4 linked regions of the Zea mays genome follow. The main gene of each other region encodes a partner of the protein of the gene in region 3 in a complex. Links are inferred from orthologs where the notes say so. Each region holds a gene or a part of one and is shown on either strand. Other genes may lie near its edges.

Region 1 (4,082 bases), on a different chromosome or scaffold from region 3:
ATATTCCCTACATCTTGTGTTCACAGGCGCTTAAACAATTTTCACCAGGACCTCACAGCCGCAAAAACGCTTCAGTTTCAAGCAGTTGCCAGCTTGCATGCCACACAATATAACTGCATGCATGTGTCGCCATGCTTATTGCAACACGCATGCTCCCACAATGACCAGATTCCCGCCTGCACACCGCTGACTGGGTAAACAAGGAGTTACAATAACTGCATACAGGATTACAGGAAGAGTGGGTGCACGTAAACAGGAAACAACGCATGCAACTGCATGCAAATAGCTATTGCGCCTGTACATGCCGGATACTTTTCCAGACCCAGTACGCATGTGAATACCAGTCCTTCCATTCCCTTTTACCAAGCGTGATAAGGATGTTTATAGATACCAAGACCTTCAATCACATGCAAATCATATTAACTCACATAGTCATCTGTGTCCCTAACCACAAAGTCTAAGGGCATCTCCAACAATATGAGCTAGTACAAGCTCTAAGCTAGCAAACGTGGAAGAGAGAGCCAATAGCAATTTATATCATATTGTGTGAGAAAGAGGGGCATCGTGAAACGTGTGAGACTATCTCTTTACTCCACGCTAGCCTCTTGTCTTTTGCACTATTCAGCGAAATGGTCTCAACTAGCTCTAAGCTAGCCCATTGGGGATGCTCTAACCATTGTTCAGTTCCTGCTCAGCAGTATACAAGCCACGTTTGCATCCATGCCTTCATTCAATGAACCGAAGGTGCCACTACATGCATGGCATGCTTCAGCGCTGGGCTATTCACATGCATTAGACGTTTCGGTTTTTAGTGGTCTAATTAAGTGCCCTTGATACTCCAGCCCGTCCAGTATTATGGCCAAAATTAAAAACGAGAATAATCCTGGTATAACAGAACAGATGGAGTAGATGGAAGGAGTATCAAGCAAATGCATACGTACTGTTTTCCTTCTTGGCTTGTTGTTGAGCAAATATTTGGGCATCCTTTGTGCTTCCCGCGATCTCTACTTCAATATTCTCTCCAAATGCTTCTTTCTGCCCTAGCAGCTGAGTGTATGCTATATAAAGCGGAGTAGGAAGTAACTCAGCAGCATGGTGCTGCTTTAGTTTCTTGGTATGTTGCATCCCCAACTGTTGCTGCACTGGCAGTGATGCTTTCTTCAATGATTTCAAATGTGATGGCAGGCTTGAAAGAAACTTTTTCTGATTAGCAATTGTCTCCAGCAAGCTGCCCCTCTGTTGTCCTAATTTCTCATGTAGCTTGCATAACTCTTTCCTCTGGTTTACAATTTAAAATCTATTTTAGAAGCCAGCAATGAAATCATGGAAACAGCGCAAATGAGAGAACGCTAGCATCACCTAATAGAGTATAGAACTACTGTCCTTAAAATGTTCAAACCGTGTGCGGAAATAAATAAAAGAAATATAAAAGGTGCAACACAATAGCAAAAGAATACATGTGACTGGATGGTGATCAACTTAAGACATGAGAGCAAAAGTGATGGTAAACAACCTGAGCACAATGAAGAATATATGTGCAGTCTTCTTAAAAATAGATTATAGAAATTTTCATTATGCTACAATTATTATTAGGTAATACTTAATAGTGATACAAATAATCCAAATACTATAGTAAGTGCAAAACTCAACTAGCCTCCTAGGAATAAGATGTAAATTTTAAAAGAAGTTGAAGCAGAGCACAATATAATTCAGCAAAATATGTGTGATACGATCAGCTTATCAAGCCAATAGCCAACAATAAGTTTGTCAGGTGACTGCAAATATTTTAGTAAGTTTCATAGAATTTGAAAACTAAACGGAGTTCAAGCACAGCAGAATACAGTTTATCCAAAAATGCGTGAAAAATCAGCTTGTCAAGAAACAATACACCAGATGATTTGCATCAAAAGCAAGCGGTGGTGTAACTTCATCCACTATCGAGTATAGTTCTAAATTATAAATTCTCCAAAAAGAATCATGTATGCTAGGCTTAAAGTGGTATGTAATTTACCAACAGCTACCATAGCTCAAAATGTAGGCTGTTCATATTTAAGTCCCTCAAACAGGGAACCAAACAGACTAACAGAGTACAGCAAATTGGCAGCAGGTAGAGTTCCATAGTTCCTACAGGGTTGCAAAATATAGCAATACGCAACCTGGACGAGCTCAAAGTTGAGGCGCTTGAGCATGAGGTCGTGGGAGGCGTCGGCAGCGAGGGTCTTCTCAAGGATGTCTGCGGGCGCGGAACGCTGGAACTCCTCCTCGGGCACAAGCTCTATCCCCGGATACTTCGTCTGAAAGTCAAGACACGCTCTTATGGCCTTCACGTAGTGGTTCTTCTCGTACAACAGGTTATGCAGCTGCAGCGTCGTGGAGTCCACCGGCGCCTTCGCGGCCTCCGTCTCCGCCTTGACCTTGTCCTCCTCCATCAGTATCTCTCTGTTCACCTGCGCGGATCAAACTCAACTTAGCACAGCAGATCTACATGTAGGGTTTTGGATGTGGGGTAGGTTTTGGAGCGCGACGCCGACGTACTTGGCGTAGCGTGACGAGGTGCAGAGACATCTGAGTGACAAGCTCGCGGAGCTCCGACTTGGGGGCGCCGTCTTTCTTGATGGCGAGTATCCGGGCTGCGACTTTCTCGATGGAGGCGCGTGTCTCTGCCAGGAGGTCGTGAGGGGAGCGCAACTTGGTGGCCGGAGAGGTAGTCAGCGTCCTAGCCGGCGCGTCGACGTCCATGGCATCCGCAGTCGGCGCCGCCGCCATCCGTTCGGCCGGCGTGGGGAGAGACGACGGCCTTGGTGATGAAGTGGGTGGATCGGAATTCGGAAGTGTGTCGGATCCGTCTTTGGGATATTTGGGCGGCTGGGCCGCTGTTTCCGAGACAAGTTACAAGTTAGAACATCTCTCGGCCCACACGTCTACTGTAGGAAGTAACTTCTTTATTTTAGAAAAAAAACTAATCTGAACTCTGCAAGAGTTTTATCCTCAAGTAATCCTATTACCAAATCAGGTTCTGACTGTACTTTTATAAAAAACTCAAAAATCGAAACCTAGTGGCACATCAATTTTTAAAAAGAAATTTCATTTCAACCTCTAAGGCTATCTCTATAAGCTTACACATCCTCATACATATATTCAAACTTCACTCTATGAACGAGATAGTCTGCAGTGCAAAATAGTATAAAATAGTGCAAAACAGTATTTTTAGGTGACCATAGGGGTGAATTGTTGGACACGGTCTGAGGACCGTTTGTATCGCTTCATTTTGAAAATAATTGGAATCTACTCAACAGAGTCACGGTTATTCATCCTGTTTTTAACCAAAAACAGAGTCACGGTTACTCATCCCGTTTTTTAACCAAATTTTCGCTCGTTTCCGAAAACAGAAAATTAACCAAAATTTGTCTGGATTTTACATTTTCCTAAATGGTTTACGTTTTCAAATTCAAAGAATCAAAATCCGCATTTCTTGACTAATTTCCTATACATATATGAATAAAAACAAGTACTCATGAATGGTGATTGTAGTTCACCTAGTAATCCTTGCCATACGTATGTAGGTATTGGTCACGTCGAGGCGGATAGTTGTAACTAGAGATAATTGTCTGTGATTGCCATCATCAATAGGTCTGCAAACGAATGACATCGTTGTGGATGAGGTGTCCCATAACTTGGGAGGCATGCCTACCCCTAGCACCATATGCTCCAACATCACATTCACCTCTACCATTCCCGTGGCTACCATCGTCGTCGTCTCCATCATCCCCATGGCTACCATTATCATTGTTACCACCATCACCTTGATTATTGGTTTTCTTCAATGTATGTGTATATATTTGATGAGTAGTCTGTGCAAGGGATATATATGTTATATGAAAATTATATGGGCAGTGCGTGTTAATTTATGTATACTTGTGTATTTTGGATTTTACAATGACATGTGTAAATGTATATATACACCACACTAAAATGTACTAAAAATTAAACTTTTACATGGCTAAATGATCTTTTTGATGAAAAAGAACCGAAATCCGGTTGAAAAGCACTAGTGAATCGAAATTTACACAAAAAATAATTCA
Region 2 (2,721 bases), on a different chromosome or scaffold from region 3:
GATGTTGACACTCACCCCACCCCCAACACACACACAAAACTCTCAAACCTTTAAAATTTAATAAATAGTCTTCCAACGAAGGAACAATAATGACAACTGAGAACTCATGTTTAGAAATATAATAAAACCATTCAAGACTATTCCCATCTAGCAATGTTACATTGTAAAGTTAAGGTAGAAGAACATACTCAAGTTTTGTGAAGGTTCTAATGCATAACAACTCTTTGACATTCCAAAGACTGACAAGTGAATCTGCACTTCCAACAGCGAAATACCTAGCATTGGAACAATTTGTAACTGTCATCAGAAAAACAATTATAGCTTCTCCCAAAATCAGAGTAACTGGAAACCAGATAACTGATTACTATATCCAAAAGATGACTACAAAATGTATGAAGCTTACTTGCATATTGTTGTGGACCAAAACTTGAACATAATTGCTTTCATCACAAACAAGGCTAATTGGAACCATACAATATGGGTCCGTCATTTAGGCCCAGACTCAGTCACACATCAGGCGATTTTCTCCACCTCAATCTATGTGGTGGTATATTGAGCCTCACAGTTCGCAGGACAAAGTATCTAGCGTAGAAAATAAACTAGATCCACTGGCAAACTAAATTGCTCCTCTATGTAAATTCTGAATTCAGTAGTTGCATGAACAGAACAGGTAATCATTTCTTCTCAAACTCACTTACATGTAGGTCATGTCCTAGTTAATCACTCACCCAGAGGTTGCTATTAGTTAACAATTTCTTCTTTACCTAGAGATGAAGCTAGGCTATAAAATTTCAATAATTCTTGTTATTCTGGTCTTTTAAAAAGAAAAAGAATTTTGTTATTCTAATAGCCAAAATATATGTGAATAGGTTGTGGCAGTATTAATTGGAATTAAAGTAATTAATCATGCAAGCATCAGTGTCAAATATTTATAGAGTTCACTGTTACATACATCTTAAATCAAATAGCAGGCCAGATAACCCAATTGAAGTAGTACAAATTACAAATCCAAGTGATCCAAAGAAGTACCAGGGGCGAGAATAAATAAAGAGCCTTCAATAGAAAATACCTATCAAGTGGATCCATTGCAATGCAATAACACCCTGCTGTATGAGCATTCAGCTTGCAGGGCTTTAAAAACTCAAGATCCTTAACCACCTCAACGTGCCCTGCATGACCAATAGACCATGCGGAAACATTAACTGATACAATATGGTAGCACTAGAAATCTGCCAAAATGTAAATACAGTGTTTATTTATTCAGTATTATTAACGTGAGCTTGGAGAAAGCATTTAGTATCCTACCTAACCCAGTAGTAATGAAGAATAGATCTCCAGCTTTATTCCAAGCAATCTCATTCATCTGAGGAACAAAGCAATAATGCAAAGTTGCAAACATTAAACAGTGAAAGCAATATTTTTCCTTGAACACACATGTGTATCAGCATTGAGGGAGAGGCCAAAATGACAAATCAGTCCTCCCTCCCCCCCCCCCCCCCCCCCCAAAAAAAAAAGTGCAAAGTTGCAATGAAGAATAGATCTCCAGCTTTATTCCAAGCGATCTCATTCATCTCAGGAACAAAGCAATAATACAAAGTTGCAAACATTAAACAGTGAAAGCAACATTTTTCCTTGAACACACATAATGTGTATCATTGCATTGAGGGAGAGGCCAAAATGGCAAATCAGTCCATCCCCCCACCCCCAGGTCTGAGTAGGTGGCTGAGTAGCAGGTCCTAAGTTTGACTCCCTATGACAGCAAATTTTATACTGGGGTGAAAAAAAAACCTCATCTGCCGAAAGGTTCATGATCAGCAATACACAAATTAAAATAAAGTATACGAGCGAAAGGGCCTCTAGCTGAGTTAGCTAGGTGGTTTGAGTTCGATTCCCCATGAGAGCGAATTTCAGACAGTGTTAAAAAAATCCTCTTGTCTGTCCCATGCCAAAATATAGGTGTAAGGCTTGGTCCTGGTCGTGGTCGTTCTTACATGGACTATGGTGCCACTGTGTATGGGTGGAGCACTGGAGCAGGTGTCCGGAGGTTTTCTCAACATGTGTGAGGTCTTCTTCTTAATACAATGTATGGGGGTTGTCTTATCCCCCGCAAGTCAAGTTTTAAAATAAAGTATATGTTCAATTATTTGCTAAATTCATACAGCAGTACCCATTTACTCAAAAAACATCCATACATCAAATTGTCTCAGACAAGCACACAAGAACAGTGCTGCTCATTTTATTTCTACAAGGCGAAAGGGTCTCTAGCCGAGTTGTTTAGATGCTCTGAGTAGCACTCCTCAGGTCCTGGGTTTAACTCCCCGTAGGAGTGAATTTTCAGGCTGTGGTTAAAAAAAACCCTCGTTTGTCCCACGCCAAAGCACAGGTCTAAGGCCCAGCCCCGGTCGCAGTCGTTCTCACATGGGCTACGGTGCCGCTGTTTATGGGTGGAGCAGGGGTTCGAGGGTTTTCTCGACCTGCATGAGGTCTTCTTAATATAATGTCATGGGGTCTTAATATAATGTCGTGGGGCGGTCTTACCCCCTCCAGGTCGAGTTTTTATTTTATTTTATTTTATTTCTACCGACATGTATATGTGCATCCTAATCCAAAGAACAGTTGGATCAAACAAAGAGTTGTTAGAAAATGATTCATATATCCAAGCTTCAATTTATAATTACCTCGTAAGTAGACTTGTGTTTCTTAGCAACTTTAAGTGTCCTA
Region 3 (3,572 bases):
CTAGCTATTGGGTGGAGGGGTTGAATACTGCCAGCCATCTCCCCAAATGCCTCCCCTCCAAGGCGGTCAGTCATCCCATTCCTTTCTTCGCCCTCTTCGGCATTGCCCCTTCATATACACACACACCCATGTCTTTGGTTGTGCATGCTATCCTAACACCTCCGTTATCGCTCCTCACAAACTTTCCCCCGATCCACTCGATCTCTTTTCCTTAGGTACTCCTCTAACCACAAGAGGTATCGGTGCCCTGCCCTCACCCAACGCGTCATCACCTCTCGACATGTCGGTTTTTATGAAGATGCCTTTCCCCTTGCTGGATAATCGCCACCTCCCGACCTCGACAGTCACCTCGATTCCGATCTCGTCATCGTACCTTATCTTCCCCATCATCGGTCCCACCGACCTCTTCCATGTCGTGTGTGGTCCCTTCCCCTTCGATTGCATCATGTGCGGTCACGCTGCCTCCGCTTGCGCCACGCGTGGCCCCGTCACCCCCGCCTATGCCTCGCTCGGCCCCGCCTCTTTGGCCGCCTTCGACTCGCTTCGCCAATCCCGCCCGCGTCTACCAACGTCGTTTGCAATCCCAACCCTCGATCCCCTCCGTTGAGTCGGCCCATGCCTCGTCCCGCTTCTGTGACGATCCGATATGCACCATCCGATCATTATCCACCGCAACCCACGCCATGTTCACCCGGTGTTCTCAGACTTGTCGATCGGATGGTGCTCACAATCGACGTTGCTCCAGCTTCCTCGTATGTCGCCCCTCCGTGCACGCCACGCTCGTTGATCCCCATTGGCGTCGCGCTATGGAGTATGCGGCCCAACTAGCCAACCACACCTGGGACTTAGTGTTCTGACCCGTTGGCACTAATGTGGTCACCGTCAAGTGGATCTTTCGCCACAAACTCAAGTCTGACGGCTCCCTGGATCGGTACAAGGATCGTTGGGTCCTTCGGTGTTTCACTGAACGCCCCGGAGTGGACTACGACGAGACCTTTAGTCTTGTTGTCAAGCTCGCCACCGTTCGGACCATCCTCTCCCTTGCCCTCTCTCGAGACTGGGCGGTCCACCAGCAGGACATCAAGAATGTCTTCCTTCACAGCACTCTGACCGAGACAATGTATTGCAGCCAGCCCACCGACTTCATCGGCTCCGCTCGCCCAGGTATGGTGTAAGTTGAAACGTTCTTTGCCCCTGTTTGTTTCGGCTTTTCGCAGCTTCTGGCCACCAAAAGTTGTTGTGGACTGCCAAACACTCAGCTTTTCAGCCAGCTTCTATAAAATTCGTTTGGGTAAAAACCATTCAAAATCAACATAAACATATAATCGGTTGAGTCGTCGCAATAGTAGTAATCGGTCACTTTATAGATCCTGGGCCCCATGGACAACTTTATCTTCCTCCGCACGTAATCCTAATGATACTCAGATTCTCTACACAGCCAGATTCTCCCCACAGCTAGATTCTCGGAAAAGCTGGTCAGAAAAAAGTTGAACCAAACAGGCCCTTTGTATGGCCACAAGCAGGCACCGCGGGTTTGGTACAGTCGCTTCGCCTCCGACTTGTTCATCCATCGGTGCGGCGACGGCACCGTCTACCTCCTCTACTTCAACGACATCATGCTCACGATGTCCACCTCTTCCTTCACCAAAGTCGGTACGCCATCGAGATTCTGGAGCAGGCTAGCATGTCCAACTGCAAGCCCTGCTCTACGTCTGTTAACACTCGGACGAAGCTCTGCGACAACAATGGCTTCACGGCCAGCGACGTGACGGGATATCGGAGAGCCTAACCGAGGCTCTCCAGTACCTCACCTTCACAGACTCGACATCGCCTACGCGGTCTAGCAGGTGTGCCTTCACATGCACACCCCATGGGAGCCCCACCTCACAGCTGTCAAGCGGATTCTTCGCTACCTTCGCGTCTCCCTCGACTTCTGCCTCCTTTAACCCTCTCCGACTTCTAAGCTGGTAGTCTACACCGACACCGATCGAAGCTTCCTGCCTCCGTTAGCTTCTTCATGAGCTCCACACCCCCCTCACGTGTGCCACCCTCATCTAATGCGACAACGTCAGGGCGGTCTACCTCTCCAATCTCGTGCAATGTCAGCGCACGAAGCACATGGAGATCAACCTCCACTTCATCCACAAGTGTGTCGTTGTCGGCGATGTACGCGTTCTCTGCGTCCCAACAACTTCGCAGTTCACCAACATCTTCGCCAAGGGGCTTCCTTCCACAATTTTCAACCATTTTTGGTCCAGTCTCAACATTTGTACATGATAGAGTTGTGAATGCGGTGGAGTGTTAGCGTAACTGTGTAAACTCTCTTGTAATGGGCCTTGGCCCAGTTAGCCAGCTATATTAACATACTCCCAACCCACATTAGGGTTAGGGTTACAGTCTTCTAACTTATTTCCTGATCTTTTAGATCAACATGACCAAACATAGAGGGAATAGCAAGATACTAAGACATATAATAATATACTAATACTAAAGATTATATTAGTATTTCAGGGATTAATACATAGAATTACCAAGACATGTACTAATATACATAGAACTAATATCATGGATTATATGACAGAAGCTCCACTTAGAAAAGTGGAGTTACACATGATCATTGTACATAGGAACAATAGCGGCTACCGAAACATACTAATTCCTTAGAAGATGTCTATATGACCCCTTGAACTACCGTTGTTGGTCTACTTCACCCCCTAACATACAAAACAAGGTATTCTACCCCATCGTCTATCCAAAACCATGTAACCAAGCCCCTATGTGGTTTCAATTGGTGGTTTCACCATTGTGGCTTTTTATGGTAAACAGTGCTCATAAAAAGCTGAAAGTACAGGATTAGATCTGTAAAACAAACGGACTTGAGCGTAGTGGTGCTGAATTGTGAACCTCGCTTGTGACAACGAGGCAAAACCACCAATCGGAACCACCTAGGGGTTAGATTAGGTGAGCAGATAGAATACATGGTTTTGTAGGTTAGGGGGTGAAGTAGACCAACAGCAATATTTCAGGGAGTCCTACTAATTCCAACGACCAACGTATAAGTTCCCCTTCTACTCCATACCTCACACATTCGGATTCAGCGAACTATCATTATTACTGGATTGAGTATTTGAGTATGCACAATTCCAAAGCCACTTTATAAATTATTGTGTTCGAAGCATATAAGGTATATCATGACCTTTTCTTCATCCGCTACATGAGAAATGATAGAATGTACAGGGAAAGAATTTCATGCAACGGTAAATATAACTTTAAGAACAGATAAAACCTACCCGAACAAACTGACTGTAGGACACACGCTGGCTGTTTGGGTATCTGAAGTACACTGCAAAACCAGGTTTGTTCGCACATTCACGCTCATAGACAGATTCATCACTCTGCAGTATGTTGGAGATAAACAATTAAGAAGCACTAAAACAATAACCGACACTCCCATTCTTTACCATGAATACAGCAATGATAAATGTGTGGTAACAGTTGAGAGGGAAAATACCTTCCAATAGTAGGCCATCTTCAACGTATCATGAAAAAATCTTCCAAGCCTGCCAGCTTCA
Region 4 (3,108 bases), on a different chromosome or scaffold from region 3:
TTGGTTCGGCGTGGTAACAAGCCTGTGGTGCAAGTTCAGGTGGCCTGATCTGAGTTACCAAGTGATGCTATTACTTGGGAAGATTTTGATGTGTTGAAGACTCGGTTTCCAGAGGCTTTAGATTTGGGACAATCAATTCATGGAGGCGGGGAAGATGTCATGGCCGGCCCGACGACATGAGGCGGCATCGGTGGTGAATAGGAAAGGAGGGAAGGTTCGTGTGTTTGAATTTCGAATTTCAATAATCTAAGGTGTCAGGCCGTGTGTCGTGTGAGGCCGAATGACCCATGTAATCGACTACTTGAACATTTCTGTGAGGAGAGGAGGATCGATCAACGGACGACGGACCTGCGATGGCGGCTTGGAGCCAAGGCGGGCATGTGGGAGAGCGGCAGCTCCTCATACCCACGGGTCCCTCCGCCGACGACGCTGCAGGTCGGTCAGCATCGTTGAAACACGTACTGTACCAAAGACAGAGAGGGACGTGACCTAGCGGGAAGCATTTCCTTCAAATGGATGGCTACTGATGTCTACTACACAGTACACACCAACAAGAGAATGTATCTCAGCTGTTCAAAATCTGGTTCAATGTCAGTGAGTCGACAAAATCTGGTTCCTCTTCATGCCACTGTTTCATTTCATCTCTCCGGCACGAGCATCCCTACTGGTAGTTTCCGTCCTCACGTTATCATCAGCGTCCGCCTCAGGCTCGCACTGCCCGCTTTCAGGGCCAGAGACCTCCCCCGGGCTCCGTTTCTGGCTATCCCCCACCGCGCCGTTGTCGGAATCCATTGGCGCCGCGCCTTCGCCTTCTTCCGGGTCGACACCGCCGTCGGTTTCAGGTGTCGCAGCAACCTGCACAGAGGAGAGCCCACAGCAACAATCAATGCAATGCAATGCAATGCAAGGGATGATGATGTCAAAACGACAGGTCATGGTCTACAAGTAGAAGGTGGTCCATGTACCTGATGCTCTCTGGGCTGATGAGCTGACACGCTTTTTGAATCTTCCTTTCTCGTCCGCTTAACCTTCTCGGCGGGTTTAGAAGAAAACTTGGCATTTACTTCAGGTGGCAGCAGTTCTGAAGGTACAACCCCTTCGATCCCGTAGTCTGAAAACTGCAATAAAAATGGTGATCGCCAGCAATATTCATTCCAATCTTGCACGCTCAAAGAACGAAATGAAATTGTTGCGTCGTCATGCTTCACATACCCGCGCGAATCCATCCAAGTCCTGCCTGGCCGAAAACCGTAGTCCTTTCCAACAGTACACCTGTCACACAAAAGCTGCTCTTACAACAATCTACTAGCTATATATGCAGATTAAACACGTAATGCTACTTAGTTTTGTGGAAATAACAACAAGTGCCAATGTTGTATTAGTTCAAGGCAAATATTCTAATTTCAACATCCATCGAAACATATGGGCACAGTACTGCTTTTATGGGAGTATAACCCACGAAAGGGTACAAATAAAAACCACAAGTGTCGATAAGTTCCACCAGCTGTGCCCAACAAGACATGAATTTTTTCAATAGCACTTAATTCTAACTGCAGTACAAGGTAAGGCTCTCCATCGAGAGCTCTGACGATTCAAACCTAATTAGCTAGCAGGGTCCACTTGATCAATTCAATAGACATGTCATGGAATACTTCCCATCGAGTAAAATTTCAAACCAAAAAAAAACAGCAATCGGGCAATTAGCATAGCTGAAATCAAACTTACCCGATTACTTTTGTGGTGATACTCCTCTTCAATTCCAGCAGATGGATCCATCTGCATGTTTAGAAAGGTAAACTGAAGTTGCATCACTGTTTAAAACTTCATTTGCAGCAAAAGGACGAGTGGCCAAAGTGCAAAAATAACCATCACGGTCAACGTCATCTAACTTTCTATTAAAAAAGGATGCAAGAAAGCCTAATTGCTTACATCTTCTGCAAGTGGTTTCCAATATTCTGTAATTGATGGCATGCGGACACGGTCAGGATCAGTCAAGACATTCTACAGCTCAAATAAAAATTAGATTGAGCAGTTAAATTAGAAGTCAGAATATCGTACCACGAAATAACAAGGAAAAGAGTACAGAAGAAAAGAAGCACCAATGCTCACAATCAAGGGAGCAGGGTCCTATATAGATTGACATTTTTCAAACAATATACAAAGAAAGTTTAAAACTTAATTCAAGGGACAACCACTACTTTATAGATTTAATTGCTCAGGCCAATGCCAAACTAATTTGATACTTTTACACTAGCAAACAAGTTAGAATCTAAAGAGTGGAAGTGACAGAATGAAAAAAAAACTTGACCTGCGGGGGGTAAGACAGCCCCCGGGCATTGTATTAAGAAGAAGACCTTCTCACACAGGTCAAGAAAACCCCCGAACCCCTGCCCCACCCATACACAGCGGCATCGAAGCCCATGTGAGAACGACCACGACCGGGGCTGAGCCTTAGACCTGTGCTTTGGCGTGGGACAGACGAGGGGATTTTTTTAACCACAGCCTGAAATTCGCTCCCACGGGGAATCGAACCCAGGACCTGAGGAGTGCTACTCAGACCACCCAACCAACTCAGCTAGAGGCCCTTTCGCAAGTGACAAAATGAAAGAGGACTGACAACAAGACTTGAAGTTGTTTCTATATATAAAGGCAGAAATTCTTGGTGATACATAAGAAACAAATATTGAGGACCCAAAACCTATAAATTTGTGCAATTTAATTTCTAATTCAGCACTACAGTGGGAAGATGTATGTAAACATACGGGGTTTTGTTCTGCCCATTTCCAAAGTTGGCTGAGCTCTTTGCTTCCCAGTCTCCACCTTGGCTTCCTACAATGCAAGAAAGCATGCAATATCACCTTGACTATAAAAGGGAAGAGGTAAAAAAAGAACATCACTTGGCTTTCGGATTGCTACATTAATGACTTATACATTGTGCAAAATATCTCCATGTTTTCTTTTACCTTAGCAGAATCATAACATGAACTATATGATTGGAGAGTCTTTCTCACATATAAGTTTTAAGTTTGATAATTTAATAATGCATACAATCCTGTTACTATAGTTTCTCTCTTGTTAATTTTCCTAACCAGATCTAAGCCACTAAAT

What was found.
Region 1: THO complex subunit 2 (region 3) and THO complex subunit 5B-like share a complex: the UniProt entries of both Arabidopsis thaliana proteins name them as parts of the THO complex. The link is inferred for Zea mays from reciprocal best matches to the Arabidopsis thaliana genes THO2 and THO5.
Region 2: THO complex subunit 2 (region 3) and THO complex subunit 3-like share a complex: the UniProt entries of both Arabidopsis thaliana proteins name them as parts of the THO complex. The link is inferred for Zea mays from reciprocal best matches to the Arabidopsis thaliana genes THO2 and TEX1.
Region 4: THO complex subunit 2 (region 3) and THO complex subunit 1-like share a complex: the UniProt entries of both Arabidopsis thaliana proteins name them as parts of the THO complex. The link is inferred for Zea mays from reciprocal best matches to the Arabidopsis thaliana genes THO2 and THO1.

Annotation. Positions count from the first base shown.
Region 1 is NC_050100.1:218,465,052-218,469,133, reverse strand, and holds the start of THO complex subunit 5B-like, read right to left. Parts: upstream 2,828-4,082; 5' UTR 2,767-2,827; coding exon 2,536-2,766; intron 2,448-2,535; coding exon 2,157-2,447; intron 1,279-2,156; coding exon 942-1,278; intron 1-941. UniProt on the Arabidopsis thaliana protein: Acts as a component of the THO subcomplex of the TREX complex which is thought to couple mRNA transcription, processing and nuclear export.
Region 2 is NC_050102.1:86,892,370-86,895,090, reverse strand, and holds part of THO complex subunit 3-like, read right to left. Parts: coding exon 2,679-2,721; intron 1,364-2,678; coding exon 1,306-1,363; intron 1,170-1,305; coding exon 1,070-1,169; intron 276-1,069; coding exon 189-275; intron 1-188. UniProt on the Arabidopsis thaliana protein: Acts as a component of the THO subcomplex of the TREX complex which is thought to couple mRNA transcription, processing and nuclear export. Contributes to the integrity of the endogenous trans-acting small interfering RNA (ta-siRNA) pathway.
Region 3 is NC_050098.1:214,439,816-214,443,387, reverse strand, and holds part of THO complex subunit 2, read right to left. Parts: coding exon 3,512-3,572; intron 3,396-3,511; coding exon 3,291-3,395; intron 1-3,290. UniProt on the Arabidopsis thaliana protein: Acts as a component of the THO subcomplex of the TREX complex which is thought to couple mRNA transcription, processing and nuclear export.
Region 4 is NC_050096.1:2,960,633-2,963,740, reverse strand, and holds the end of THO complex subunit 1-like, read right to left. Parts: intron 2,830-3,108; coding exon 2,763-2,829; intron 2,002-2,762; coding exon 1,930-2,001; intron 1,777-1,929; coding exon 1,726-1,776; intron 1,273-1,725; coding exon 1,213-1,272; intron 1,119-1,212; coding exon 966-1,118; intron 856-965; coding exon 634-855; 3' UTR 553-633; downstream 1-552. UniProt on the Arabidopsis thaliana protein: Acts as a component of the THO subcomplex of the TREX complex which is thought to couple mRNA transcription, processing and nuclear export. Contributes to the integrity of the endogenous trans-acting small interfering RNA (ta-siRNA) pathway.